Cricetulus griseus: one gene and its partners. The protein of the gene in region 1 binds, or shares a complex with, the protein of each later gene. Links are inferred from orthologs where the notes say so. Each region holds a gene or a part of one and is shown on either strand. Other genes may lie near its edges.

What was found.
Region 2: the proteins of Ncbp1 (region 1) and Phax are in contact, whole or in part, in a cryo-EM structure (PDB 8PNT), measured with the Homo sapiens proteins. The link is inferred for Cricetulus griseus from reciprocal best matches to the Homo sapiens genes NCBP1 and PHAX. Residues at the interface, in NP_002477.1 of Homo sapiens: Cys380, Lys381, Pro384, Pro388, Gln389, Leu391, Ala392, Thr395, Phe417, His420, Leu421, Asn423, Phe424, Gln425, Arg427, Trp428, Ser429, Asp432; in NP_115553.2 of Homo sapiens: Ile114, Asn115, Asn116, Ile117, Trp118, Gly119, Val121, Leu122, Glu124, Gln125.
Region 3: the proteins of Ncbp1 (region 1) and Ncbp2 are in contact, whole or in part, in a crystal structure (PDB 5OOB), measured with the Homo sapiens proteins. The link is inferred for Cricetulus griseus from reciprocal best matches to the Homo sapiens genes NCBP1 and NCBP2. Residues at the interface, in NP_002477.1 of Homo sapiens: Glu32, Cys36, Leu71, Thr74, Val75, Arg77, Leu78, Leu79, Ser324, His325, Trp326, Lys327, Glu328, Arg329, Lys330, Ile368, Val370, Met371, Thr374, Glu378, Asn415, His419, Ser422, Asn423, Gln425, Lys455, Arg458, Leu459, Ser460, Tyr461; in NP_031388.2 of Homo sapiens: Gly4, Leu5, Leu6, Lys7, Leu9, Arg10, Ser11, Asp12, Ser13, Tyr14, Glu53, Glu54, Gln55, Tyr57, Glu58, Leu59, Lys62, Ser63, Asp65, Lys67, Ile69, Tyr89, Asn96, Arg99, Tyr100, Asn102, Gly103, Thr104, Arg105, Leu106.

What each region holds. Positions count from the first base shown.
Region 1 is NC_048595.1:97,271,599-97,280,813, reverse strand, and holds part of Ncbp1 (nuclear cap-binding protein subunit 1), read left to right. Parts: intron 1-576; coding exon 577-733; intron 734-3,130; coding exon 3,131-3,238; intron 3,239-3,924; coding exon 3,925-4,046; intron 4,047-4,925; coding exon 4,926-4,995; intron 4,996-5,735; coding exon 5,736-5,951; intron 5,952-9,215. UniProt on the Homo sapiens protein: Component of the cap-binding complex (CBC), which binds cotranscriptionally to the 5'-cap of pre-mRNAs and is involved in various processes such as pre-mRNA splicing, translation regulation, nonsense-mediated mRNA decay, RNA-mediated gene silencing (RNAi) by microRNAs (miRNAs) and mRNA export.
Region 2 is NC_048595.1:182,313,358-182,323,031, forward strand, and holds the start of Phax (phosphorylated adapter RNA export protein), read right to left. Parts: upstream 6,481-9,674; 5' UTR 6,422-6,480; coding exon 6,326-6,421; intron 4,207-6,325; coding exon 3,623-4,206; intron 78-3,622; coding exon 1-77. UniProt on the Homo sapiens protein: A phosphoprotein adapter involved in the XPO1-mediated U snRNA export from the nucleus.
Region 3 is NC_048597.1:57,545,083-57,555,096, reverse strand, and holds the start of Ncbp2 (nuclear cap-binding protein subunit 2), read left to right. Parts: upstream 1-3,534; 5' UTR 3,535-3,611; coding exon 3,612-3,689; intron 3,690-8,055; coding exon 8,056-8,237; intron 8,238-10,014. Other genes in the region: Pigz (GPI mannosyltransferase 4), read left to right, coding at 1-1,086; protein NCBP2AS2, read right to left, coding at 3,090-3,389. UniProt on the Homo sapiens protein: Component of the cap-binding complex (CBC), which binds co-transcriptionally to the 5' cap of pre-mRNAs and is involved in various processes such as pre-mRNA splicing, translation regulation, nonsense-mediated mRNA decay, RNA-mediated gene silencing (RNAi) by microRNAs (miRNAs) and mRNA export.

The DNA.
Region 1 (9,215 bases):
CCACTGAGCCATGGAGCTGTCCTCAGCATTTTCTCAACTATATTAGCAGACCATATTAAGAATTTCTTATAGGCAATTGGTTGAAACTAATTTTAATTCTTTACCTTTTATAAGCAACCCAGTAATGTTTCTCCAAGTGGAATTCTGGTTCCATGGCACTTGGTTAGCTAAGTTTAGAAACTCCCAATGCTCTGTTCCCCTTTAATGATTCTGCATTAAAGGATCTGTTTCACGGAACACTTCTGATATTACCATGGAAACCATTTGCTGTGGAATTGGTATTTCCACCCAATGCATTTGAAGAAAAACTGGTCTAACATTAGTTGCATTAATTTTGGTGGGATAACTTCAGAAGTCACTGTTCCTTAACTCTTGAATTAACTAAAATGAAAAATATTGGGGTCTATATCTGCATACTTTTCAGTGATACATATGCCTTTTCTGAAATCATTTTCAAAACACAGTTAAAAGTAATTTTGTTCCAAAGTTATTTGATGTTAAAAGCTTTATGTACAATTCAACAGCTTAATATAAAACCTTTGTTTTGGGGTTGTCTTGTACGGGTTCTCAAATCAGTGCACGTCTGTTACCTGAGAAGTTGACAATTTATACAACATTAGTTGGACTGCTGAATGCCAGAAATTACAACTTTGGTGGAGAATTTGTAGAAGCTATGATTCGCCAACTTAAAGAATCACTAAAAGCAAATAACTATAATGAAGCTGTATATTTGGTAAGTTTAATGTGTGTGTATGTGTGTGTGTGTGTGTGTGTGTGTTGTAAGTTAGTGTTAAAGTGGAGGAAAGAAGCTACAGCCGATTAATTACTCCCTTGTCCTTAATTCTTGTCCTTGTTCATCTTGTAACTGTTCTTTGGGAAGCCATTTTCACTTACTACTCAATGTGATGCATGTGTTTACTTTGAATCTTAGTCCTCTTCCTTGCAGAATGATTCCTTACATTATTTTCTTATCTCTTGGTTTCTAGAGCATGACTGTTTGAAGACCTACTACTACTACTACTAGTAGTAGTAGTAGTAGTAGTAGTAGTAGTAATAACAACCACCACCACCACCACCACCTCAGCATTGCTCCTATCTTTAATTCTTATCTCTTTCACTGGGTTGTTATCTTTTATTATTTAAATGTTTGTCTTACAGTGCTTCTGTCTTTTATTTAAGCTTTTCTGAATCATTCTCATTCACTCACATAGCTGCATAAACCAACTTTATTTTGAAGGGAGCCCCAAATTTATAACTATCTCCCACCTCAACCTTTCCTGAGTTCTAAATCTATATCCCAACTACAGCCCAAAGATTTTGTCCCTGCAAGTCCTGAAGTTTATGTGTTGTCTATATCCCTCTTCTGTCTGCTCACCAGCTCATGCACAGGGGCCACTATCTGCTGGGCAAGCCATCCAGAAATCTGACATTCATTTTTAGCTTTTCATTGCCTCCTTACACATCTCCAACCCCTCTCAATCCTCTCCTAAATTCCCTTCTTTGTCCCATGGCCTCTAGCACAACTTGTAACTTTTTTGTGTTCTTAGCTGTTTCTTTACTTGACCTTTGTCCATCTGACGTCTCTGCCTTTGAATCTGTCTTCAGTAACAATAGTACTAGAGTGACCTTTGTGTAACTAGACGCTGCTCCTGTTGGTTACTGGTTAAAGCTTCACTTCCTTCCTGTTTTATATAGTGGGTAGTCTTAATACACAAAATGATCCATTGAGCTGCAGGGAATCATATATGTATTTAACATATTCTGGTTACGTTGGTCCCACAATATCTTCTCTTTTCCCACCTGCTCTTGCTGTACTCTTTCTAGTCTCCTTTCTATTTTGATGTCTTTTTGTATATGTGTGACTCACTTGCATACAAGTGTGGGTGGTTATTTACTGGAACATGGATGGACACCTTACTAATGGCTACACAACTAAAGAAAATACCTCCTTGCCCAGAAACTTTTAACTACCAGTAGCTCCTCAGGAAAGGGTTGGGGCCTCATGAACTCCATCCCTGTCCATGAAGGAATGTTGACCTGTCTGTAGCTGCTGTGAGGTTTTTAGTGCTGTGGTCATATCCTGTCCAGAGGATAGCATTTTTGCAGACTCCTCCCCAACCTCTGGTTCTTAGGTTCTTTCTGCAACGTAGAACCTTTGTGTGTCTTGAATAAAAGACTTAATTAAGTCTTACTAATACCTAATACATAGATTGGTAGTAATCCAGTACTTACCATAAGTAAGTACCTACATGTTGAAAATCATTTGATCACAATCTTTTTTATTGAAGACAAATTCAGAAAATTTTGGACACCTGTCAGGATATAGGATTAAAGTCTTCATCTTTCATGATTGCCCCAGTCTGGTTGCTTTCTCTTGTCCCCTGTATACCCTGCAGCTATGTAGTTACCTGCACAACCCTGTGCCAAGAATGCCTTCCCTGCTCCCCACTGAGGGCTTTGCTCACGCTTTATAACCTTGCCCAGTTGCTTTCTCCTTACACTTTTTCCCTTGTTACCGATGTCACTGGTCCCAAGGGCACTTTTTAACTTACCTTTTAGTGCAGGAGCCATCCCTTTTTGTTGAGATTGTGTTTGTCCCAAATCTGCTATTAAGTTCCCTTAAACAGTACCTTAAATAGTGCTTATATAGTCTTGGCACGTAGTCAATATCTCTTTTACTTAAATTTTCCATTTTTATATTTCAGTAAAAATTATTCCTAGCCAAACAAAAAGACCAACCTACTTCAGTAGAATGGAATAACTAGAATATCTGGCTGTCCAGGTGCTTAATGTAGCATAGCATGGAAACCCACAAAGTCACAGATACCTGTCCAGCATAAGATCTTTAGTACAGCTACCCAATTTCACCATTGTATCACAGAAGCATGGGTCAATAAGTGGCTGAATGGGTGTGAACTGTCTTCTACTGCAAGCATGGTTATGCACACTGAAATTTGAATTCATGTCATTTTGTGTGAATATTACTTTGTTTTGAACATTAAATTTAGAGACTTCTTGGCTCACAGGTTGCGCAAACGAAAAGATAATAAGCTAAATACAGACATGGGCTTTATTTTGTGACTATTATGAAAGACTATTAGGTTAATACAGATATCCTTTGCCCTCACAGGTCCGTTTTCTATCTGATCTTGTGAATTGTCATGTGATTGCTGCCCCATCTATGGTTGCTATGTTTGAGAATTTTGTAAGTGTGACTCAGGAAGAAGATGTGCCTCAAGTAAGACACCTTTATGTTGAATCTTTTCTGTAAAGTACTGTACCAGATTTTTTTCCCTACTGATAACTCTTTAGCAGCAATAAACAAAATACAATAACAGATTATCACACTGTAGTGCTTAATACCTGAAGGGCAAATCAACTAACTGGCTTATTGGTGGGTTCTCTTGACATCATTGTGTTAGTTCAGATGATTTTAATAAGATTAGAACTGTAGGGCTGGAGAGATGACTCAGAGGTTAAGAGCACTGGCTGCTCTCCCAGAGGTCCTGAGTTCAATTCCCAGCAACCACATGGTGGCTCACAGCCATCTGTAATGAGATCTGGTGCCCTCTTCTGATGTGGAAATATACATGGAAGCAGAATGTTGTATACATAATAAATAAAATCTTTTTTTAAAAAAAGATTAGTAGAACTGTATATCTAGAAATCCTCTAGATGAGCCAGATAGTTTATTTAAGCCTTATTGAAAAGCCTCCCCAGGATTGCATTTTCGACTAAAAAAGATTGGCCTGGAGAGTTGTATAGCTCACTTGTAGAATGCTTGCTTAGCATCTGTAAGAATTGAACTTGATCCTTGACACTGGAAAGAATAAATAATAAGAGAATAAATAAATAAAGCTAACTAGCATGTTTTTGGTTTTGATTTTTTTTTTTTTTTTACTTACCTTTTTAACCTTTCTTCAGGTGCGACGGGATTGGTATGTGTATGCATTTCTGTCATCTTTGCCTTGGGTTGGAAAAGAGTTATATGAAAAGAAAGATGCAGAAATGGACCGAATCTTCTCCAACACTGAAAGTTATCTTAAGTAAGGGCACAGCTCGCATGTTCTTTGTTGTTCACATAAAGATATCCTGCTGATAGGATAAATGTCTTCAGTTTTCTTTCAGTTCCATTTTTTAAAAAACAAAACCTTAAAGCTTCTGAAAAAGTCCTCTATTAAATTTCATTCTCCTGCTGCCATAATTCATTAAGATCCCAGTACTTTGCTAATGTAAGAAGTTGGTATCATGTGTGCTAAGCAGTTTTCATGTTGTTGTGAAAGGCGTAGAACACCATGGTGTAGTAGTTCCACTAGTGTTCTAGTGTTCATATGTTTATGCTTAAAGGTCACCTATAGCACTTAAAATTATACCTCTGCCCAGGCATCTAAATCGAGTGGAAGAGGTTCAAACGATTCCATCTGATTGGGTTTATTAACAGTACCATGGTATTGTTGTGTTGTGTTTTTTTAATGGTTTTCTTTATTAGTATAATAAATTAGTTCTCTGTGGATATTTAGTTTGTGCAGTCTCCTTTTACCTTAAATAAGTATCAGGGAATATTATTATATATAATATATATGTATATATATATTGTGTGTATGTCTGTGTGTATTTATGGGGATATGAATTCATAGGAATGGAGTTGGGTGAAGATTCAGAACAACTAAAATTTTGACAGAAATGGTCACATTGTCTTCCATAGACATATTCTTCCAGATTGTACCAATTAACCCCTCTGTCACCAGTGTTTGAGATACAGATGTGCTGTTATCTTGATGACAAATAGACTATTATCAAAAATGTTGCTATCTGCTGATCTGATGGATGAAAATGTTTTTCATTCTTTTAATTAATACGTGAAAACCATGGAGTGTCTTTTATTTTTCTAAAGCCTAAGTGTAGATTTTCATTTTTACTCTTAGACGACGCCAGAAGACTCATGTGCCCATGCTACAAGTATGGACTGCCGATAAGCCACATCCACAAGAAGAGGTGAATTGTTTTCCATCCTGTGTTACTTGCACAGCTTTTGAGTAGATCTTACCTCTGTAACATGCCCAAACTATATCACCAACCCTGTCAACCTGAATTCAGTTCCCAGGACCCACGGGTAGAAGGAGGAAACTGATTCCTATAAGTTGTCCTCTGACCTCTGAGAGTGCCCTATGCCCCATGTGCCACACAAATAAGTAAAACTGCAGTTTTACTCAAACTATTGCGTTTGTGTATCTTAGCTAGGTTTTTAAATATTTCCAGTGAGGAATTAATTTCCTCAGATTCTTAAGCATAGAGGAGATATTTAATATATGTTTGAGTATAATTGAAACAGCCCCTTGCTTTTTAGAATACCAGTGTCCACACACTTGACACATTTTATATCTAAATACTCAATTTTAAAAATAGCAGACGCAGTCACCCCAAATGTTCTACTGAAAAAAAGCTGCTAAAGTAAAAATGGAGAATGGACTGCTTAGTGGGTAGAGGCAGCCTTACCACAGAATGGAAGGAGAGGAACACCTTCCAAAAGCTGCCCTCTGATCTCAATGCTTGTGGCAAGAGCATGCACACTAATGCAATTTTAAATTTTTAAGTAAAAAACAAAAACTTAGTGCCATTCTTTTCTACTGTATGAAATACCAAGTTAGTTTATTTTGTCCTGTATTTTAGAGAATAGACATTTTCTGTACTGTCTAGCCAAAATGTTTATATTAAATATTAAAATCTCTTTTTAGTATTTAGATTGCCTGTGGGCCCAGATTCAGAAATTGAAAAAGGACCGGTGGCAGGAAAGGCACATCCTAAGACCCTACCTTGCCTTTGACAGCATCCTCTGCGAAGCACTGCAGCACAACCTGCCTCCTTTCACACCACCACCTCACACAGAAGACTCGGTGTACCCGATGCCCAGGGTAATTTTCAGGATGTTTGACTACACAGATGACCCAGAGGTATGGGAGTACCCAAGAGTTTCCTTTGACTTGTACCCTAGATATTTTTCTTTTTCTTTGTTCTTTCCAGGGATCTTTTGAGCAGGGTCTCTCTGTGGACCCAGATTGGCTGTGAGTTCACAGATTCTCTTATCTCAGCCTTCCAAGTGCTAGGATTACAGCCTTGTACCGCATTGCCCAGCCCAGCACTGAAATAACCTTTTAATTTTCAATTAATTTTTCAGCATTAGATTGATTAAAACTATAATACCTTGTTATGTAAAAAATTGTTTTGTTCATATAAATAAGAGAGACAGTATAGTTTACCATTCAAGAACCAATTGGTTAGCATTTTAATGCATATACTACGTGGGAGCATGAGTGAGTTATTTACTTCCTGTGCCTCAGTTCCCAGAGGAACAATAATAGTATGTAAAAAATGAACAGTGTCTCATATGAGTGCTCAATTTTAGCTGTTTGGGTAGGGGAAGTGTTGTGGGGGGTGAGCAGAGGTTGACTTCAGCTGTCTTTCATTGATCAGTGTGCGTGCGTGCGTGCGTGCGTGCGTGCACAAAGTTTCTCATTGAACCTGGAACTCACCATTGTATCTATATTGGCTGACCAGTAGGCCCCATGGGATCTGAGCACTGGGCATAGAGGCATGTGTCACCAGATCTAGCTTTTAATGTGGATTCTGGGGATATTTAATTCAGTTCCTCATGCTTGTACAGTAAGCACAATACTCCAATATCCATTGAGCCATCATCTCCCAGGCACCATGTTTAGCTAATTTTTGTTGTTTGTTTAATGTGTGTCTAGGTAGCCCAATCTGTCCTCATTGTGACAACCCTCCTACCTAGGCCTCTTGAACTCTGAGATAGTACTCGTGAGCCACTATGCTAAACATGTCTGCTTTTTTCCTTCTATTTTCTGAGAAAGGGTCCCATCTAGCTCAGGCTGGTCTGGTACTTGCTGTGCAGTTGAAGATGACCTGTAACTTGTGATGTTCTTGCCTCTGCTTCTGTTATGATTGCAGGCATTAACCACCATGCCCAGTTGTATATATTGCTAAGGATTGAACCCAGAGCTTCATGCAAGCATTCTACTGACCAAGCTACCCCAAGTCCCATTTAGCTATTGTTAATTTTTTTTTCAAGAAAAATGCTGCCTTTTCTAAATTGTCCATATTTTTAAACAACTCAGATTAAGTGACTCATTGTACAATTATTAAAAAGTATTTTGTCATCCTCCCAACTTAACATTCTAATTTTTTTAATTTATTTACTTATTTTTATTACATATACAGTGTTCTGTTTGCATATTTGCCTGCACACCAGAAGAGGGCACCAGATCTCATGATAGATGTTGTGAGCCACCATGTGGTTGCTGGAAATTGAACTCAGGACTTCTGGAAGAGCAGTCAGTGCTCTTAACCTCTGAGCCATCTCTCCAGCCCCCTAACATTCTAATTTTTAAGATGATTCTTATAGTGTTTTTGATTATGAAGCCAAGTTGTTGGCATCCCATTAAGAGGAGAACATGATTGCGTTGTGAATATTGGAAGTAAAAATGAATATCTTAAGCACACTAATTATTTTATATCTCAGTGTGTGATGTCTGTCTTGAAGCCAGACAGCAAGCATATAAGTACTAGATTGTTTCTGGAAGAAGTTTAGCTAGCTAAAGAACCAAAACTGTTGCTGGTTCCATTGTTGTTGCATGTAACAACCTTAACCCTCAGCACAGTGGACGTTTCAGGGTACGTATTTGTGAACGAGCACCATTCTGTGTATTATAAGGTGCTTGGCCTGGCTCTACTTCTCTGGTTGCCCTGTCAGGTAACTAGTGCCATGTGCCAAAATAGTTAGAGAACACCTGCATTCCAAGAGTGGAATTTATAGTCTGTATGTTTAGCACAAGTGAAGTATAAAGAGAATCAGCTGCTTTTGGATGAAGTGCTACTGCATATAGGACTTTGGTTTGGTTTTGATTTTGTTGTTATTTATTCTTTTAAAGAATACAAACAGAAATAAAGCAGAGACTCCAAATGTCCCCTTTCCAGGTTTCCCTTGCCTGGAAACTGCTCCTTAGTCTGAGTTTCAACCTCTTCTCCCTGGATCGGCTGGAAACAGAACATGACTAGGGTGGTGGTGGGAAAGACTTGGTGAGGATCAGTTTGACACAGATGGGTTTAACACCTGGCTTGGGTTCCCATTCAATAGTCCACCCTTCCCAGAATAGTGGGAGGACCTGATTGCCTGCTTTGCTGTATTAACTTAATAATATAATATAAATTAATATAAGAAAGCACTTTGATTCAAAATTACATGATGACCTAGTAGGTATTTCAACAAAAATCTAGTTTATATTCATGACATTTAGTCTTTGTGATTAGTTATTATTAGTTATAGCAAAAGAAACAAGAATTTGACCTCAGAATGTATTTCTCTTGTGCTAATTATATTTCCTGCTGTTGCTGCACACTGTGCCTGTCTTTCCTCTGTCAGAGAATATGAATACCCCAAATAGTTACCTCAAAATGAAAATGTTTCATTCTGTGGCAGAAACAGGTTACATTCAATTTTTCTTTTTTCTGGAGAGCCCCCACAGTGATACGTGTCCTCACACCTTCTGAGTATCTGACCTCAAGCTTCCTTTGGCCTTTTTAAGGCACAGGGGCGGCTAGCAAATTTCGTCTCTTTCTTTTTCTCTCCAGTTTGGACCAACCATATATGCTATTGCAGCACTTCCAGTTCGTTCTTTTGTTTCTTTTGTTTGTGTTTCACCTGAAATTTATAGCTGATATGTGTGGGACCCAGGTCCTGTAGGAGTCTCCTAGATCTTACCAGAAGCTGGGTTCTCAGGTCTTCTAAGGATGAAATAGATGTTGTATTCTGATTTGAAAGAAAGAAAGAAAGAAAGAAAGAAAGAAAGAAAGAAAGAAAGAAAGAAAGAAAACGTTTCAGTCTTTTGTATTTTGATAGTGTCTTTAAAAGGTATTTATTAAATTTAGAATACTTGAGTGGATAAAAGCACAGGCCATGAAATCTGACACCAGAGATCCATCATAATCATGATGACCTGCATGGTAAAAAGAGACAGCCAGTTCCCCACAAATTGTTTCTGATTGCCACAAATGTACCATGGCACACAACCACACATGATGGATGGGTGGGTGGATGGATAGATGATAAGAGTTTTTTAGAGAGAAAGAGATGAGTTGGTTTTTAAAATTTTTTTAAAAATTGATTTGTAAAATAGGCATGGTGGGTATTTGATATCTCA
Region 2 (9,674 bases), about 85 Mb from region 1:
TCAAAAGTTCAATGGCTTTTTTGGTCCCAATTATCCTCACTACTCGGGCTATCAGGTCTTTCTTTGGTTCCTGTAACCTGTTGAGAACACAGAACAACTTAGTACTTGTTAAATCTACTTTAATCCCCAAGACTAGTTCTCAACTAGAACAGTCTTACTGACAACACCTGCTTTTTCTAAATCTGCATCCATTAACGGTGGAGTCACTAACATGGAACAACCTGCTCTTCAGTCACAAAAAAAGGATGTTAACCTCAAGTTCCACATCAACTCTTAAACTAAGGCTCTTCATTTGCCTTGCTGGATTATGGTAGTTCTCAAAATAATCGATGCAGAACAAGGTGAATGAATTCAACTCTAAATGTAAAGACAAATAACAAATAACAGACATATAGTATGTTTTCAGTTATTATGCTTCCAAATTAACCTTCCAACATCTATAAATGATTTCTTACAGTTCAATCCTAATGGCCTTACCTTATCTGCACACATCAATTCTTTCAAATGTTAGACACACTATTTTCATTCTACTTTTCAGAGTAGCCGGAAGTAGTGCTTCACAAGGAGTCCCAGCACTCAGGAGGCAGAAACAGGGAGATTTCTGTGAGTTGAGGCCAGCCTGGTCTACACATTGAGTTCCAGGACAGGCAAGACTACATAGTAATACCCTGTTTCAAAAAACAAAAAATAAAATACAGGGAGCTTGAGTAGCTCTTCTAACTGGGTCAGACAGGGTCCATGGCTCCCAGAAATAAGAAAAACAGTGCAGAAGCCTTTTCAGTTTCCAATCAGACTCAGACCTTGGTTTCTCCTCACAGGAGGCAATGTAATACTGTGGGAAAGGCACCTGAAAGGAGGAGCAAGTGACCAAGGTTCAGCTTCAGGTCCGACCTTCACAAAGTTGATAACCTTGTGCAAGCCAGGTAAGTGTACTGGGCCTGAGTTTCCTAGGGGGACTCTGATTCATAAATTCTACATTTCTTCAGAATATAAACTCCACACTTCTTATTAAATGTTTTCCATGTATAAGTGTACTGCTTGCATGTATGTCTCATTTGATACCCAGGAGGCCAGAAGAGGATGCTAGATCCCCTGTAATTAGACTTGAAGACCAGACTGATTTTTTACTTTTTAAAAAGATTCTATTTTTATTTTTTGTGTATGAGTGTTTTGCCTGTATGTGTGCATGTGCACCATGTGCACACAATGCCCACAGAAGCCAAAAGTGAGTGCTGGATTGCCTGTGACTCGAGTTACAGATGGCTGTGATCTGCCACGTGGGTACTGGGAATCGAATCTGGATCCTCTGGAAGAACAGCCAGTGCTCCTAATGCTCCTAACTAATGAGCCATCCCTCCAGCCCCCAAATATCTTCACTATTAAAAAGAAAAACAAACAAACAAAAACAACAAAAACAAAACAAAACCCAAAACTAACCAGTACTGGTGTTGCCTGAAACACTTGTTTCCCTAACGGCATACTATTTTCAAATACTAGTGACTTAGAGCTAATAAACATTAATTAGAATCTGAGCCTGTGAAAAAATGCATGAATTGTCAATTTAGTATCTGCCAAACAATTCTATTTACCCCAAAGAAATGAAAATATGGTCAAGGATTTGCAAGCAAAGGTTGTTAACAGCATTATTCATAATAAATAAATGTAGACTACCCATCCAGTCCAGAGATATGTAAGTCTCTACACATCCAATAAAACTGCAGTGTCAAGAATATGGTGGTTGAGTGCCTGTAATCCCAGCCCTTGGGAGGTAGAGGCAAGAGGATCAGAGTTTAAAACCCATCTTGTTACAAGGTAAATTTGAGGCTGGCCTGAGCTGTGGGAGACCAAACAAAACATCCAAATAAAAAAGCGACACTTTTCATTTACAAATTAAGAAAATAAATAGCTAGGCATAGCGAGTGGCGCATGCCTTTAATCCCAGCACCTGGGAGGCAGAAGCAAGCAGCTCTCTTGTAAATCTGAGACCAGTATGGTCTACACAGCAAGTTCCTAGGACTGGCTTTATCTCAGGGTTCCTTCATCAATGCAACAATTCAATCTCAGCCGAGTGTTGGTGGCGCACACCTTTAATCCCAGCACTCGGGAGGCAGAGGCAAGCAGATCTCTGTGAGTTCGAGACCAGCCTGGTCTACAAGAGCTAGTTCCAGGACAGCCTCCAAAGCCACAGAGAAACCCTGTCTTGAAAAACCCCCCAAAAAAATAAATAAATAAATAAATAAAAAAATTCAATCTCAAAAAAGAAAAAAAAAGGGGGGTGTAAAAGCATTAGTTTCTGCTACAACATAGTTCATAATAAAACTGAAGGCGGGCAGCAGTGACCCCTGTGGATCTCTGTGAGTCTGAGGGCAGCCTGTTCTACCCTACAACTCCTTCCAGGACAGTAGAGCTGCACAGTGAAACCCTGCCTCAAACAAACAAACAAACAAACAAACCAAAAAGAAAAGAGTAGCCAGGCATGGTGGCAAATGCCAGTACTCAGGAGGCAGAGGCAGGTGGATCTCTTGAGTTCAAGGCCAACTTGGTCTACAGAGCTACGGAGAGAAACACTATCTTGGGGGGGAAGGAAACTACAAATCAGATACTGCACGGCTGCATCTGTATGACAAATTTACTAGGGCAGAAAAGCATACTTGTCTGGGAAAGAGAATTAGGATATTAATAGTAAACGGACAAACCGATGAGGACACAAAAGATTTTACTGGGTGATGGAGAGAAAGATTTTAAAAGCAAAGGTTGTAATAAATAATAAAGTAATGGTCATAAAACTGGGCAATTTGTCTCCATAAAAAATCAACACCTGAAAATGAATGACTGTCATATTAACATAATAGCTATGTTATTTTTCAACTTAAGAGTAACATTAAAAATTTTACATCCATCTGTGTGGGTGTGTGTGTACCATGGCAGAAATGTGGAGGTCAGAGGACAACTTGCAGGAGTCAGTTCTCTACTTGTACCACATAGGACCGAGGATTAAACTGGCACCAGGCTTGATGACAAGAGCCTAAATCAGCTGAGCCATCTTGCCAGCCCCCTCTGGGTTTTTGTTTGTTTGTTTGTTTTTTCCTTTTGAGACTGTATCTCATCTAGCCCAGGCTGGCATCAAGCTCCCTATGTAGCTGAGAATGATTTTAAACTTCCATCTCATTAGTACTGTGATTACAGGCATGCAACACTCTGCCCAGTTTATGGGGTGTTAAGGATTGAACTTGGGATCTCATGCATGTTAGGCAAGCACTGTACCAACTGAGCTACGTGTCCAGCTCAACGTTATCTTTAAAAAGACACAAATTCGAGCGTAGTCAAATATGCTCTGGGTTAATTCCTTTAAGAAAAACAAAACAAAACCTCAGCCAGGTATAGCATACACCTTTAATCCCAGCTCTGAGAGGCAGAGGCAGAGGCAGAGGCAGGTCGATCTCTGTGAGTTTGAGGAGATCCTGGTCTACAAAGCAAGCTCCAGGCAGCTAAGACTATTGGGAGACCCTAAAACCAAACGAACAAATAATCAAAGAAAAAAAAAAAAAAAACAGTCAAAAAGGAATGCATTTAGCATCTACTTTGCTTCCTGTAAATACAAGATATGTGGACAAGTGCTTACCTGAAAGCAATTTCATCAGCCACTTTCTCTTGAGAGTCATCTTCGGTGATCTCATAGCGGCCTTTGTAGTTCATTTCTACTCTGTTGCCCAGTCTGTCTTTGACAGGCCGTTTCCGTTTGAGATGACCTTGCCCATTCTCTTCTTCCTTTGACCCCGGTTTTTTATCACCATGCATATATTCATCTAGATCTTTGTCTAATTCTTTTGTGGACTCTTGAGACTCCCGCTTAAGTTTCTTAGCAAGCAAATAATTGTAGGTCTCAGACTGCCTGCTTCTGTCAAGGGTACCTTCCATTCCCAGGATGCCAAGTTCAATGGCCACCGCATCTTGATTTTGTTCCTGGAGCACAGCACCCCAAATATTGTTCACCTTCCTCCCTCCATTGAGAGCTGTTTTCTGACTGCTCTGGCCAAACGGAAAAGGCTCTGGTTTGGGAGGAGGGTTAAGACATTTCTGTCGCTTCCGTTTCCAAAGAGAGCAGTCTTCATCTGAATCCACACTCTCCTCACTGGAATCCACATTTTTAACAGTCCGATAATGTGACACTGGTGCACAAGCAACACTGTCCCCACCTAGCACTTTCTGCAAGTGAAAGAAAGCAGAGTCATTTCCACAAAGCATTAATTCCACCTACCGTGGGCTATTTTTTACAGTGATGTAGGTATTACGAATGCCTGTCATCCCAGCATTCCAGAAGCAGGAGGACCGGAAGCTTAAGGACGACTTAGGTTACACAGTGGGTTCAGGCCTGTCTGAGGGGCATGCAGACTTTTATTAAGGAGAAAAGGTTGGAGGAGAAAGAGTGTACCGGAGATTCCACTGGAGCATCCAAAAACAATCTCTCTCCAAAGACAGCTGACACTAATAATCTAGTCTCTATTAAATTAACTTGGTGCTGGAAGATTGCCTCCTAAAAATTTACCAAAGCCTTTACTTCTCATCCTCAAAGACCACATCTGTGAGAATGACATACACAATAATTGTTACTGGCAGTTAGGACAAAGTTTGTTATCTTTCCCTCCAAAAATATATTTTCTAGTTGAATGTATCAACTTCCTTTATATGGTTCTGTGGCCATTCCTTTAAGACATGATGGTATCAATCCCAGCACTCTTGGGAGGCAGAGGCAGACAAATCTCTGTAAATTCAAGACCAGCCAGATCTACATAGCGAAGACCCTATGGGGGGGGGTGTAAAAAATTAATGGTAAGCTCCTATGGGAAGAATCCCAGAAGTATTACTTTTAACTGCAGGTTTCATCAGGTGTAGTAGTGCACACCTTTAATCACAAGGCTAAGGCAAGAGGATCCTGGTTTTGAGGACACTTTGGGCTATGAAAAGAGACCCTGTCCCCAAACAAACAAAAACAAAACTCCTCAAAATTCAGATTTCACAGCATTATGTTAACCAAATTATTAAGGCTTAAAAAAGAGGATTGAAAATAAGATCCTAGTATTAGTTTCCTAAAACAACTACATGTGAAGATTTAACCACCACATAATAACTACACAAATTTATGCGGTACAATATGATGCTTCAATATATGTATATATTTCATAATGATCAAATTAGGGTTGTTAGCTTATCTATCACTGAACATTTATCATTTCTTTATGGTGAAAAAGACTTTATGGTGAATAAAATCTTTTTATTGGGGGGGAGAGGATATATGTGAATTACACTTGACTTATGCCTCCTGCATGCTAGGCAAGCACTCTATAATTGAGATTTACCCCACTCCCTAGTTATTTAGAAATATATGCTACTGTTAACTAGTCACCCTACTATGCAAGAGAGTCCTGAGTTTATTTCTTCTAATTGTAATTTTACCCTCAATCTTGGCTTTCTTTCTATACTAAACACAAAACCAAGCATTTATTGAATTCCTCTTAGGCATTTAAAATGAGCGAGATGACTTAAGGCAGTAGATGAATAGTCTTCCAGCAATAGCCGCTGGCAACATTGGCCAAGCCTTACAGTGTGCAGCACTCGCATCACACCCTTACATTACACCCTGAGCAGTGAGTGCATCATGCCAGTCCCACCTGAAAACCAAAACGGCAGTTAAAACACTGCGGATAGCGGCGGTGGTAAGGATTGGGTGCGGGAAGCCGGGCTTTTTAAGGAGTAACAGAAGGTCCCAGAAAATTAGGAAGCTGCCTAGAGTGGTGGTGCACTGTGATCTCCGAGCACTTGTGGGGTATAAGGGGCAGGACGACAGTTTAAGGGCCCGATCAGCCGTAGGATACATATCGAGATGCCGTCTACAACCCTGAGCAGCTGAAACAAAGCCTGGTGCCTCCACACTGGTACGTGGAAGCTGACCAAACTCGGGGGTGGGGGGATGGTGGAGACAACACACACCGGGCCCCGGGTACGCAAGGAGCTCCCTGTCCGCCAGGAACAACAACAAAAAGAGCATCCGAGGCAGTCTCAGCTCTCTGTCCCCACGTTCCGTTTTGGGCGGAATCTGTGTCCAGGGGCGGCTGTGCAGGGCCGGGGAAGTGTGCAGAAGCAGGAGCCGCCAGCGAGGGGATGTTCGCCTGTTCGGGAGGCCGCGAGGCCGGCGGCTCCGCGGGGTCGAGTCTCCGCCGGGGCCCCACAGCCTCCGACTCGCCGCATCCCGAGGCCGCCCGCGCCCCTCCTGCCGGCCGCGCTCCCCCGGTGTCCGGCCCGGTCTCCCGCGCGCCCTCTCGCTCACCGCCATTTGCACCGGCCTGTCGCTGGGTACGACCGTCATGTCGGAATCCGAGTCGGAAAGCTGCCCGTCTTCCATGTCGCCAGCTTCCAGCGCCATCTTCCCGCGGCGCGCAGGGTCAGGAGAGCGCTTCCGGCGGACGGAGGGGAGGCCCGATGGCCGTGCTCCGGCGCCCCCGTGCGGGCGGCCCCCGAGAGCGTCACCATAGCGAAAGTCACCGCTGGGAGGCGAGGTCCGCGCTCCCCAGCGATTTCCCTGCGACGAGCTCAGGCGGCGCTCGGTGATTCCGCTCCGACCTCCGGCCTCTCACCCGGATGCTCCGGACAGGCCTTCCGGCTGCTCGCCTCCGCCTCAGCTCACCGCCTCACTCGGCTCGCCCTGCTCGCACGCGTGGCTGGCTGTGCGGGAGTCACTGCCCCACTTCTGTTCCTAGGCCGCCCTTGCTGCAGCTGCTTTTCCCAGTCACCCGTAGGCCATTCTCCCTGAGATGATAAAATGGCTCACCTCACCCCAGGGTGTTTGGCTAATCACGGCTAAATTATTTTTAAAGTGCTGTTAATGTTAATGATAGGCTTTAATAAGCACTCCTTTTAATGTTTATGTTTTTTTTTCCCTTTAGCCTAAGCTGGTGGAGGCCAGGGCTGTTTTGCAAGAAATAAATCGTGTTATATGCTGCCTTCTACATCATTGTGAGTTTTTTTTTTTTTTTTTTTTCGAGAACCATAAGACAAAGTAAGCTCTTCCTAACATTAAATGGCCCGGCGTTGGTGGTGCACGCCTTTAATCCCAGCATTAGGAGGCAGGAGGCAGAGACCTGTGGCTCTCTGTGAGTTCGAGGTCAGCCTGGTCTTCAGAGCGAGTTCCAGGACAGGCTCCAAAGCCACAGAGAAACTCTTTCTCGAACAACAACAACAAAAATGTAAATATTAAAGTCTTATTAAATATTAAAATAAACTATTATTAAATAATGGATAAATAAATTATGTTCGTGAGGTGGTTTAGCGTTCAATTACAGATAATCTGGAGGCGAAAGCCCACCCTTTACCACCACCGTCCCCAACCACACCCATCTCTTCCCTTAGTTGGTAACTGGTGCCTGCTTGTCTAGGCATTACAGTTTATCCTAGGGTTGAAAAGTTACAGGCACTCTGCCACGTGACTGAGCCAATGATGATCAGAAAAGGGTATCCAAGACCCATTATATATGGTGGATAAGGTTGTATATTCTGAGCCAATAGGATGGGGCGTTGAGGGTGCTTTGCTAGGCGAGAGCAAAGGTTGTATAGCTCTCTGGAGTACCAGCCTATGGGAAGAGGGTAGGATTTTTTTTTTTTTTCCAATTGGAAAAAACCACTGTTTCAGGCAGAGCCAGGCGGATCTCTGTGAGTTTAAAACCAGCCTGGTCTACAGAGCGAGTGCCAGGATAGTCTCCAAAGCTGCACAGAGAAACCCTGTCTCAAAAAACAAAGAAACTAAAACAAAACAAAACAAACAACAACCAAAAAACCACTGTTTCTCGAAAAGCCAAAACCAAAATAAATAAATAAATAAACAAATAAAAATCACTATTTCATGCCAACCTGGTACACCACTCCTTTTAGTAGGCCAGCATCCATGTCTACAGAATTGTAAAATAAAAACTTTAACTTTCCCTAGTCTCTTGAATTTGTTATTACAAAGTGAGGGTCTTGTTTCTCACATAACTGAGAGTTTTTAGTCCCTTCCTTGGTGACTTAAGCAAAGAACTGTAGGGGGCTGGAGAGATGGCTCAGAGGTTAAGAGCACTGACTGTTCTTTCAGAGGTCCTGAGTTCAATTCCCAGCAACCACATGGTGGCTCACAACCATCCATTATAAGATTTGGTGCCCTCTTCTGCTGTGCAGATATACATGGAAGCAGAATGTTGTATACATAATAAATAAATAATTAAAAAAAGCAAAGGACTGTCAGCCAAGCAACTGAACAGACTGCCCTCATGCCAGTCCAGTAATTTAAAACATTACATAGACATAATAGACACACAGCAGCATGGTGGGGGTGCTGTGTTTTGTTTTTGGACAATGCTAGATTCACAAATAGTAGGCAAGCGCTTTACAACTGAACTGTGCCCTCAGGGTCAAGCTTTGTGATCCTCATAACTACCTTCTTTAAGTCCCAGAACACTGTGCTCAGCCTCTTTGTTTTGTGTTACACACCTCACAGCCATGTAGCTGAGCATGTCTTTGAATTCCTGGTCCTCCCAAACACTGCGATTGTAGGCCTGTACCACCATACTTGGCACATTTTATCTTTTCTAGTATATTGCATACATGAGGTTATTTATGATGTATTATTTTATATCTGGCCTCTTATTACATGTAGTGCTTTTGGTATTTGTCTATGACTTTATGAGAATGGGGAGATTTTTTCCCCCCAAATGAATCTATCATTTTTACTTAACCACTAATTAATGAGCATTTTAGTTGAATCTAAGCCAGTCTTTGTGATTATAGTTAATATTGGTCTGAGTTCTACAGAGAAATGATAAACCACATTTACAGAGAGTTTTACAATATAGAATGAATTGGCTCATGTGACAATGGTGACAGAAAACTCACACAATCTTCCATCTGCAGACTGGAAACTGGGGAGGTTTATTGGTTTGAGTCTGGAGGCTTAAGGAAAAGGAAAACCTATGGTATAAATTCTAGTCCAAGTCTATTATAGTATGGATATTATCCTCCAAGGTGATTGTTTTGTTTTGTTTCGTTTTGTTTTTGAGAGGGTCTCACTGTGTAGCCTTGACTGACCTGGACCTCACTATGTAGAGCAGGCTACACTAGACTGAAACCCATAGGGATCCTCTGCCTCTGCCTCCCAGGTGCTGAGACTAAAGGCATGTGTCACCACACCAGGCAGGGTTCATGTTTTGAGGGGCTTGTTTCTGAGTATGTGAGGGATGCTGGGCTGGGGAGATGACGCATTAGGTAAAGTGCTTGCTATGCATATATGGGACCCGGGGTTCAGATCCTGAGCACTCACTTAGATGACAAGTGGGCATGGCAGCTCACATGCAATCCTAGCTCTTAGGAGGTGCAGGCAGGAGATTCCCAGAGGACATTGACTAACTCAACAAGCTGGATCAAGCTCTGGGTTCAAGTGAGAGATGCTTCAATATATAAGGGGGAAATGACAGAGGAGAATACCCGCTGCTCACATCTGTCTTACACGCATGCACGCACATGTGTGAACACATGAAATTTGGCCTGGCAGAAATGAGAATAAAGAGCTTTTTCTTTATCTAAATCTCTAAATCTATCAGATTGTTGAAGCAATAAACCCAAGAAACAAGAACTTCCCCAGGGATCTCATG
Region 3 (10,014 bases), on another chromosome or scaffold:
CTAGCCTTTGCTCTGGCCCCCCTCTCTCTCTGGGGAATCCATAGAGCCTTGGAACCTGGCATCAAGGCCTTGACTCAGGAGGCCCTGGTGCTGTTGCCAGGGGCTGTTCTTGCTGCAGTGTTGTTTATAACCATGGACAGCTGGTATTTCTCCAGCCTCTCGAGATCCAGTGGCCTTGTTCTTACACCTGTAAACTTCTTGTACTATAACCTGGACCCCCAAAACCTTGCAAGGCATGGCACACATGCACGGCTCACTCACCTGGCAGTCAATGGCTTTCTGCTCTTCGGGGTATTGCATGCTCAAGCCCTGCAGGCGGCATGGCAACAACTCCACAGCTGCCTCCATGCAGTTGCACAAACCGGCCTCTTGAGGGCGCGGGGTCCCCAGGGCCTACTGCCTAGTTCTAAGTCTTACCTCCTTCTCCTTTACTTCACACCCCTGGTCCTGCTGTCTGCCTTTAGCCACCAAGAGGCTAGATTCCTGATTCCCCTCATAGTCCCTCTAATCCTGCTTTGTAGTCCGCAAACACAACCTATACCCTGGAGGGGTACCCTGGTCCTCTTCAATGCCCTAGGTGCGCTCATCTTTGGCTGCCTGCATCAGGGAGGTTTGGTACCTGGCTTGAAATACCTGGAGCATGTAGTCCATGCACCTGTCCTCCCGGGCAGGGCCACCCACTACACGCTTCTCTTCACCCACACCTACATGCCTCCTCAGCACCTCCTGCACCTCTCAGGCCTGGGATCACCTGTGGAGGTGGTGGATATGGCTGGAGCTGAGGACAGGGTCCTGTGCCAAGCCCTGAACAATTTCAGCAGACAACCAGGTTGCCAACAGGCTGGGGGGCCACAGCTCTGCCGGCTCTTTGTTGTAACACCTGGGACCAACAGGCATGCTCTGGAGAAGTGTAGTTTCTCTCTCAAGAATGAAACTCTTTTATTTCCCCACTTGACCCTGGAGGACCCTCCAGCCCTGTCCTCCCTGCTCAGTGGGGCTTGGAGGACCCACCTTAGTCTTCATGTCATAGAGCTGGAGGAGAAGCCCGTTATGACAAAGCAGCCATGGCCTAAGATTCAACCATAGAAGGTGCCACTCCTCACAGGCTGCTGGGCTGGGATAATGGAACAGGACTTCTACTGCTGTCTCTGATGGGCATACCCACAGGTTGTTCCTCTAAGTGAGCCCACATTCATTTTCCTCAGACACCAAAGATTTGACCAGTCATGGTCCCAATGCCAAGGTCCCCAAAGAAGCCTACCATAGCCACAGGCACATGTTTGTTTCTGTGCCGTTACCTCCAATTGCTGTGTAATGTCTAAATATATAGTAGCGCCTGGTTATCAAAGACAATGAACTGCTGATGACGTTCCTAAGTGGCCTCTCCCAAACTTACCACAATGCCTGACTTCTTGTTACCATGACAACCTTTGATTTCCAATCTGGCTTTCTAAACAAATACAGTGTGAAGTAGGGACAGCAGGTGGCTCACATTCAGCTCTAGTCCCTAGTCTGCTACTCACAAACTGATCTTAACAAAGTCCCTTCCACTCAGCCAATCACCCAATCTCACCACAGACAGGAGGGTCCTGAGGTCAGTGTCAGCCCTGGAGCCCACAGACTAATGTCCCCCAGATTGATAAACATGTCTCTACAAGGCTCTTTAGCCAGGAAGCAGTCATTGTGTTATATTTCATGGCACTTTGGTGCCAGTGGACTCGGGGTTTGGGCATAACCAAAACAAGCCATTCCAGAGAATGTCTTCCTATCCTCTTTGACTCCTTTTATGAGCAGTGGTGGGATTTTTCCAGTCACTGTCTAAAGGATCAGGAAATGAAGCTCAGGGGCACAATGCCTGTTTAGGATGGTTAAGGAACTATCCCCAGCACCAAGATGGGAAAAAAAAAAAAAAGGAAAATCTCATCCGGGTGTTGGTGGCGCACGCCTTTAGTCTCAGTACTCGGGAGGCAGAGACAGGTGGATCTCTGTGAGTTCGAGACCAGTCTGGTCTACAAGAGCTAGTTCCAGGACAGCCTCCAAAGCCACAGAGAAACCCTGTCTCAAAAAAGCCAAAAAAATAAAAAAAATAAATAAAAAATAAAAAATTTTATAAAATTAAAAAATCTCTCAGAATGAAGAACCCAGGTGCTCTCCTTTCTCAGTGCTGTTGTAAGGCCCCCTTGGCCTTCCCCAGTGGAAACAGAACACAGACTGCTCAGAATCTGGTACCCAGTCTAAAAGCTTTTCTAATGGAGTCCAACCTTCTAGATGCTAAGATTAACTGAGTGGCTTAAATGGAGGTCTAGAAGTTGAATTAGGAGTCTCAAAATGACAAGGCAATTTATGTGCACAGGTTTCCTAATCACAGTTCAGTTAACTGACCATAGTGAGTACTCCAGACAGAGCCTCAAGGAAACCAAGTATCCTGTGCTGCTATAACAGAGGCCTCAGTGCTCAGTGGAGATTGAAAAGCCAGTCCCTGAGCAGGGAGTGCTCAAGAACACAGATCCTGGAGTCACACGCCTGGGCTCACCTCATTGTACAAGGCTTTGGGTTCAAAAAGTGGCCTCCACTTTCTCACACGAATGGGGTTTTAAGTCACAAACCACACAATGCAACAGCAAATAGCAACACAGACGCTTAACGTGTAAACTATTATTAGCAAGATCCTACAGACTTAGCAGCTTACATATTTAACCAGAGATCTTGGCAACCTCAGGGTTGTCATTCCATCTACCATCTTCCCTGGTATTCTCCTGCACCAGTGCAGATGGCAGTAGCGTTTATTTCGCTTCAGTCCCGCTTGCAGAAGGCAGGCTTCCTGGTCGTTTGTCCTTGGCTCTCAGTCATACTAAGTTTTGGTGTTGACTTTTATCTCTGGTGGCCTTCGGGGTCTTTACGTCCTGCCTAGTCACAGGACTACCACGCACATGTCCATTTGACCTTAGGCTTCTGTATGTTGACCGCCGCGTCAGGATTCGAGGCCGTGCATCGTGCGGGAGATGACTCATGTTTGCTAAGGTCGGTGTAGATCACTGGAGGGAGGGGTGGGGGAACGTGACCTAGGCCCGTGAGAGTGCAGTCTGTGCTTATGATTTGGTGCCCGGACCCTTCTGATGACCTGGGGATGACCCTGGTTGGTCCCGGAGGCCTCGGCGGAGTTCCTGGGTGAAGGTGTCCTTGAACCGGGTGGCGCGGCGACCCAAGGAGCCTAGGGGCTGACCCGCGAGGGCGCGCAGACGGCGGGCCGCGTCGTGGCCGCGCAGTTGCAGCTGCAGCAGCGCGAAAGCCGTGAGTTGCGCCGCCCGCCGGATAGGCCGTGACTCGGACAGCCGCTCCACCAGCTGCGGGTTGTGCAGCAGGGCTGCCAGCAGCCGCCGGAAAATCATCGTCCTCGGAGCGCCCGGGAACCCGGGGCGAGCCTTCACTCACCTTCCGACCGGCCACTCCCGACGACGGACAAGCCGGCGCCGCATGATGACGACACAGCCGCACCAGGATTGGCCCTGACCACGTCGGCTTACTGCAACAGGACGCACGCATTTCCGTTTCCGCCGCCACCGCCGCCTGGTCCTTCCAGTCGTGGCCGCGTCGTGGTTCGTGTCTGCACCATGTCCGGTGGCCTCCTGAAGGCGCTACGCAGTGACTCCTACGTGGAGCTCAGCGAGTACCGGGACCAGCACTTCCGGGTGAGGCGGGCCGGGCCACGAGAGGGGCTGGCTTTGGGCTGGAATACTGAGAAACGGTTTGCATTTGTCTTACTGTGTCTTCCACTCGTCTTATTGTGTCTTCCTTCCTGTTTTGTTGGGGTCCTAAAATGCGAATGGGGTCCCAGAGGTGTTTGGATATCATTGAAGCCACTTTACTCCTAGGGAACCTGGGATTTGCTTTTACAGTTTCTTACTGCTGCTGCGGGTACCAGCACCAATGCAGGGAGGTTCGGGTAGTGGTGGCTGTTTTGATGGGCTTGTCTTGCTTGGGAAAGTGTCTGTAATGAAGGAGTTATCCCTGCGTTGGCTGACCCAGACAGTATAGCCGTTTTTGTTTTTATAATCAGCTAGACATTCCCGTCTGGTATTACAGTCCTTAGTTTTTGTAAGACAGTCCTACAAAGTTGGCAATAGTAGGAGACTCAAAGTTGAGCCCTGTTTTTTGCTGTCTGACGGGCATCGGGCATGGACAAGCCACACGAGTCACAATAAGGTTGTCTGGATGGCAAAATCCAGTGCAGGCACTGGCTACACAGAGAAACCCTGTCTCGAAATACAAGCAAAAACACAAAGAAACTCAATCAGCTTAATTTGAAAACGTATACTGTGTGTCTGGTATGAGTTTCACTTGTACTGCTGTTTTTGTTTTGTTTTGTTTTGTTTTTAACAGTTCCCATTACTTTCAACAGTTCCACATCAGTAACTAACGATTTTGAATTTAAAGCATCCTGCAAGGTTAAAACCAGGAGAGGGATCATTTATTTCTTTTGTCAAAAGCCTGTAGCTCTGTTCGGACATTAATAATTTCTGTCGTGCATTTTTTAGTGTCAGTGCTGTACTGAGTGTGAAATTAAGTTACACTGAAGCTGTAAACTGTTTGGATTTTACTTGTGAGAAACGAACAGCAGTACAAAGTGAATCTGCTAGCCAGGTGCGATGGTGGACATCTGTATTCCTAGTTGTTCTGGAGACTGAGGCAGGAAGATCCCATGAGATCAGCTGGAACATGTAAAAGAAAATGTTGAAGTGATTATTTTCTCTAATGGATCATCGAAAGTTCTAAAACCTTGGGTTTATTTGGTTTGGGCTTGTTTGTTTGTTTGAGACAGGGTTTCTTGTGTAGCCCTGCCTGTCCTGGCACTCCCTCTGTAAACCAGGCTGGCCTTGAACGCACAGAGATCTGCCTGTCTCAGCCTCCCAGGTGCTGGTATTAAAGGTATGCAACACCACCACTACCACCCAGCTGGGGTTGTTTTTTTCAAGACAGGGTTTCTCTGTGTAGCTTTGGAGCCTATCCTGGCACTTGCTCTGGAGACCAGGCTGGCCCTGAACTCACAGAGATCCGCCTGCCTATGCCTCCCGAGTGCTGGGATTAAAGGTGTGTGCCACCATCGCCCAGGGCACCCAGCTGTTTGTTTGAATGCAAATGACTATTGTTCCATAGACTTCACCTGTTCAGTCCTGTTGTGATCTTAAGGCAATGTGGTAGTGGGGATAAGACCAGAATTTTACTTTGTTTTGTTTTTTAAACTGTAACTTGGAAAGCTAGAGAGATGTCTTAGAGGTTAGCACAAGCTGTTCTGGAGGACCTGGATTTAGTTCCCAGTCCTGGCATGATGACTCACAACCATCTGTAACTGATTCCAAAGGATCTGGTGCCCTCTTCTGGTCTCTGAAGGCACTAGCCATGCATCTGGTACACAGACATACAAACACGCAAAACACCCATACCTATAAAATAATAATAAAGCCAAGCCAAAAACTGTAACTTGGAGATGGGTGTGATGACCCATGCCTGTTACTGAAGCATTTGGGGGAGGTGGTAGCATGAGTCTCAGGAGTCTGAGGCCAGATTGGGCTATCTCAGAAAACAATTGGGCTAAGTAGACTTAGCTCAACAGGTAGAATGCTTGCCTAGCATGCATGCATGAAACTCTTGGGTAGATCTTGAGCTGTATATAAACTTGGAGTGGTGGTGAGTGCCTATAAGCCCAGTACTAGGAAAGTGGAGGCAAGAGGATCAGCAATTCAGTGTTATCCTTGGTTACAATGGTTCAATACAGCCTAAGCTACATGAAACCCTGTCTCAAAAAAACAGTAACAAAAGCATCTGGAGACAGTTGAGTGGTGGTGGCACAGGCCTGTAATCCCAGCCCAGCACTCAGGAGGCAGAGGCAGGCCTGGTCTTCAAAGAGTTACAGGACAGTCTCCAAACCTACAGAGAAACCCTGTCTTGAAACCCCCCCCAAAAAAAACAAAGTGGTAGGGGGTGTCTGGAGGACTCTAGTTCAGTCCCTAACACACCAGGTATCATCTCACAGCCAGTTTCAGGGAATCTGATGCCTCTGGTCTCCAAGGGCTGTCACACTGTGCGTGCATACGCATGCACGCATGCATGCACAATAACTTAAAAAGTAAAGAAAACTGCAGAGCTGGAGAGATGGCTCAGTGGTTAAGAGCACTGGCTTCCAAAGGTCCCAAGTTCAATTCCCAGCAACCACAGAGCAGCCCACAACCATAGTAATGAGATCTGGTGCCCTCTTCTGGCCTGCAGGCACACATGTAGGTGGAACACTGCATACATAATAAGTAAATACCTGCTAGCCTGAGCTCTGTTATAAAAAGAATGCAGGTGATTAGTGCACTCATATTCTCAGAAAAAAAGGGAACTGGATCAACATTACTTAAGGAATACTAGATGAAAACTGGAGAGTTCTAGAGTGAATTCCCTGAACTTAAGTCTTATCAGCTCCTCCAGACTGGATTCTATCATATGGTTGTCTGGACTAAAAAATGTCTGGTCAGTTGGTATATCTGTTTAGTCACATCTGTGCATTTGTGTCCTTTCCAGTGGGAATGCTAGAAAGCCCAGGGATAACTCCCCCCCCCCTTTTCTTCTGATAAACACCATGCTAGCTGAGTGTGGTGGCTCATGTGTATAATCACAGCTTTCAGGAGGCTGAAGCAGGGTGTTCAAAGCTCAAGACTAGTCTAGACTATAATGTAAGGTCCCAGAGATAAGAAACAAACCTGGAGCTGGGGGTGTTGCTCAGCATGCTAACGTGAAACCTTGAGTTTATTCCCCATCACCACAAATAATCAAATACCACATCTAAGACCCAATGAACCATCTTATACCTGGGGACTGCTTTATGTTGGTTGAAGCTCGCTTAAACTCCCATCTTTAGCACGTGTCTCTCTCTCTCTCTCTCTCTCTCTCTCTCTCTCTCTCTCTCTCTCTCTCTCTCTTTCTCTCTCTCTCTCGCTCGCTCGCTCTCTCTCACTCTCTCTGGCTTCATCCTGTCTTTTAAAGAAAGTCTTGCCAGACAGTGGTGGTGCACACCTTTAATCTCAGCACTAGGAGCCTTAAAACAGGCAAGTCTCTGAGCTCTACATTAGCCAAAGCTACAGAGAGAGACCACATTTTAAAAAAGAAAGAAAAGAAAAAAAAAATCCTCTTAGTGGTCACTAACCTCTTACATGCACAAAAACATAACCATGCAAATCACCTAGCAGTTTTTGCTATGAACAGGCTTTAGGGGAGTACTGACAAGACTTACTTTTATTATAAAGGGTAAAAGGCCTTTCTGATATGTTCTGTCAAGGTGTAGAATTTGAACTTGGCCATTAGAGAAGGATCCAGTGCTGAGGGCAATGAACTATGCAAGAAAAAGGCATGCCACTCTTATGGCAGTATGATATAGGAGGATATGTGCTTTGTTTCTCCACTAAAAGCAGGCTGAACCTTACACTAGTATTTTAGAATGGGAATACTTCCAGACTGGTAGGGTTCTTACCTAATATGTAATATCTTGGGTTCAATTTCCAATGCCCCAAAACAAATTCACACTTTGAATAGTCAGTACTCTTAACCTATAAGCCATCTCTGCATTCACCCCACAACCACCTCTTAGGGCAAGGAAGAGTATGTGCTAGGGATCAGAAGATGAGAGCCTTTAATTTCCAGATCAGAATGGGCATCTTTATTATACTTGGAAATATGACTTTAACCAAGGCTCTGTAATTTTAGTTTTCAAGTCTGTTCATTTTATATATGTGTAATGCTTATGGAGGATTCACTCTTGTTTCTGCTCTGCACTGTCTACTCCAGACTGGGCTGGCCTCAAGCTTCAAGGAGATTCTCTATTCCGGTCCCATGTTCTGTAGGAGTGCTGGGATTACAGGTGCATGCCACCACATCCAGCTCTTCACTGGGCTTCCAGGGATCAAACTCAAGTTGTCAGGCTTGCACAGCTAGTGCTTCTCCTGACTAAGCATTCTATAGCCCTAAACAAATCTCTTTTTAGGTTGTAATGTTTAATTTCGTCTCTATTTGAAACTCTAGGGTGACAATGAAGAACAAGAAAAATTACTGAAGAAAAGCTGTACATTATATGTTGGAAATCTTTCCTTTTATACAACTGAAGAACAGATTTATGAACTCTTCAGCAAGAGTGGTGATATAAAGAAGATCATCATGGGTCTGGATAAAATGAAGAAAACGGCGTGTGGATTCTGTTTTGTGGAGTATCCTTCTTGGGCATCTAATGGAACCATTGAACCAGGACGGAGCAAGAGCGCGAGTACCTGCCTCTTTTCTTTTTTCTTTTTTTTTTTAATATGGCCCTGGCTAATCTGGAACTCTGGCCATCTAGCTGTCTGCCTCCTGGTGTTAGGATTCAAGGTGTGTGCCACTATACCCCACTTGGTTTTTTAAGGCACTAACTTACTATAATCCCTATCCTTTTCTCTCAGTTCTTCCTCTGAGTCATACTCTGTAAATTGCAAAACTGATACTACATTCCATTCAGAAATTTTGTTCACAGATGAATCTTTAAGAAAAGGTGTCTAATCCTAGCACCTGGGAGGCAGAGGCAGGTGGATATCTGGGTTTGAGGACAACCTGGTCTACCTAGTGAGTTCCTAGACAGTGAGGCCTACAGAGAGACCTTGTCTCGAAAAAGAGTTTTAGCCAGGTATGGTGATACACACCTTTAATCCCAGCACTCAAGGCAGAGTCAGGGGATCTCTGTGAGTTTGAGCTCAGTCGGGTCTACAAAGAGTTCCAGGACAGCCTGAGCTACACAGACCTGGACCCTGTCTCAGGGAGAAAAAAAATCTTGTTGTTTAGATTAGCTCCATTCCTGAGCTAAAGCCCCCAGGCAGCTGAGCATAAAGGCTCAAATCACCACAGTTTTTGGTGTATGATTTTGTAGTCAAACACACTTCTTTCTTTCCCTAAGCATAAAGGGCCAACCAGATTTCCAAAGTTTTGTACCCTACCAGCAATAGCATCAAAGAGCTCACAGGGACAACAGGGGAGAATATAAAATGGCCCTTAAGAACCAGTGTTTACATTTGCCTTGCAAGCCACAGATCAACATTCATGATAAGTGTACAGAAGTAAGCCTGCTGTTGCTCATTGGTTTTGCTCTTTGTCAAGCTTTCATGAAACAGAAGTCATTAAATGCCCACTGCTTGCTAGGCATTGTCTAGGTGTCAGATGCTGAAATTTCACCAGAAGTTTCCCTATAATTAGGATTTTTTATTTATGTGTATAAGCATGCCTGTAATATACATATATTTATGTATGTATATGAATAAGATTTTCCTTTTGTGGTGGTTTTTAAAATCTTTATATTCATTTTGTTTTTTTTGTTTTTTTTAATGTGTGAGTGCTTTGCCTGTACATATGTCTGTGCACCACGTGGTACCCACCCTCTGAGATCATAAGGCAGCATCAGATCTGAGAACTAGAGTTAAGGTTGTGAACCACCATATACGTTCTGGGTCTCGAGCCCAGGGCCTCTCAAAGAGAAAGTGCTCTTAACCACTGAGCCATATCTTAGCCCCTCCCCACTTTTGACATTGTTTTTGTTTTGAGACAGAATCTTGGTATGTAGTCCAGGCTGGCCTCAAACCCAGTAATCTCCCTGCTTCCGGCCTTTTGAGTGCTAGGATTATGGACATGAATTGTTATGTTCAACTTTTTCACTGTTCTTGCATAAGAAGTTTGTGGTCCAATATCACATTGACCATATTTTTCTATTTGCAAATCAAAACATGGACCAAATAATTATTAGCAGATATATATATATATATATAGGAAATCATGACTGACACAGGACAAATGTCATTTTTACCTATCCTTTACATGTCCCTAAGTGCTGTTGGACCAACTTTGAACTGGCTTTTACAAAATGAGTATCTTTGTAATTAGTCTGGTTGGGCTAGCTTTTCTACTTTAAACATTTTTTTTAGTAACTTGCATCATGTAGGTGTGTTGCTTCCTGTCTCTTGCTTG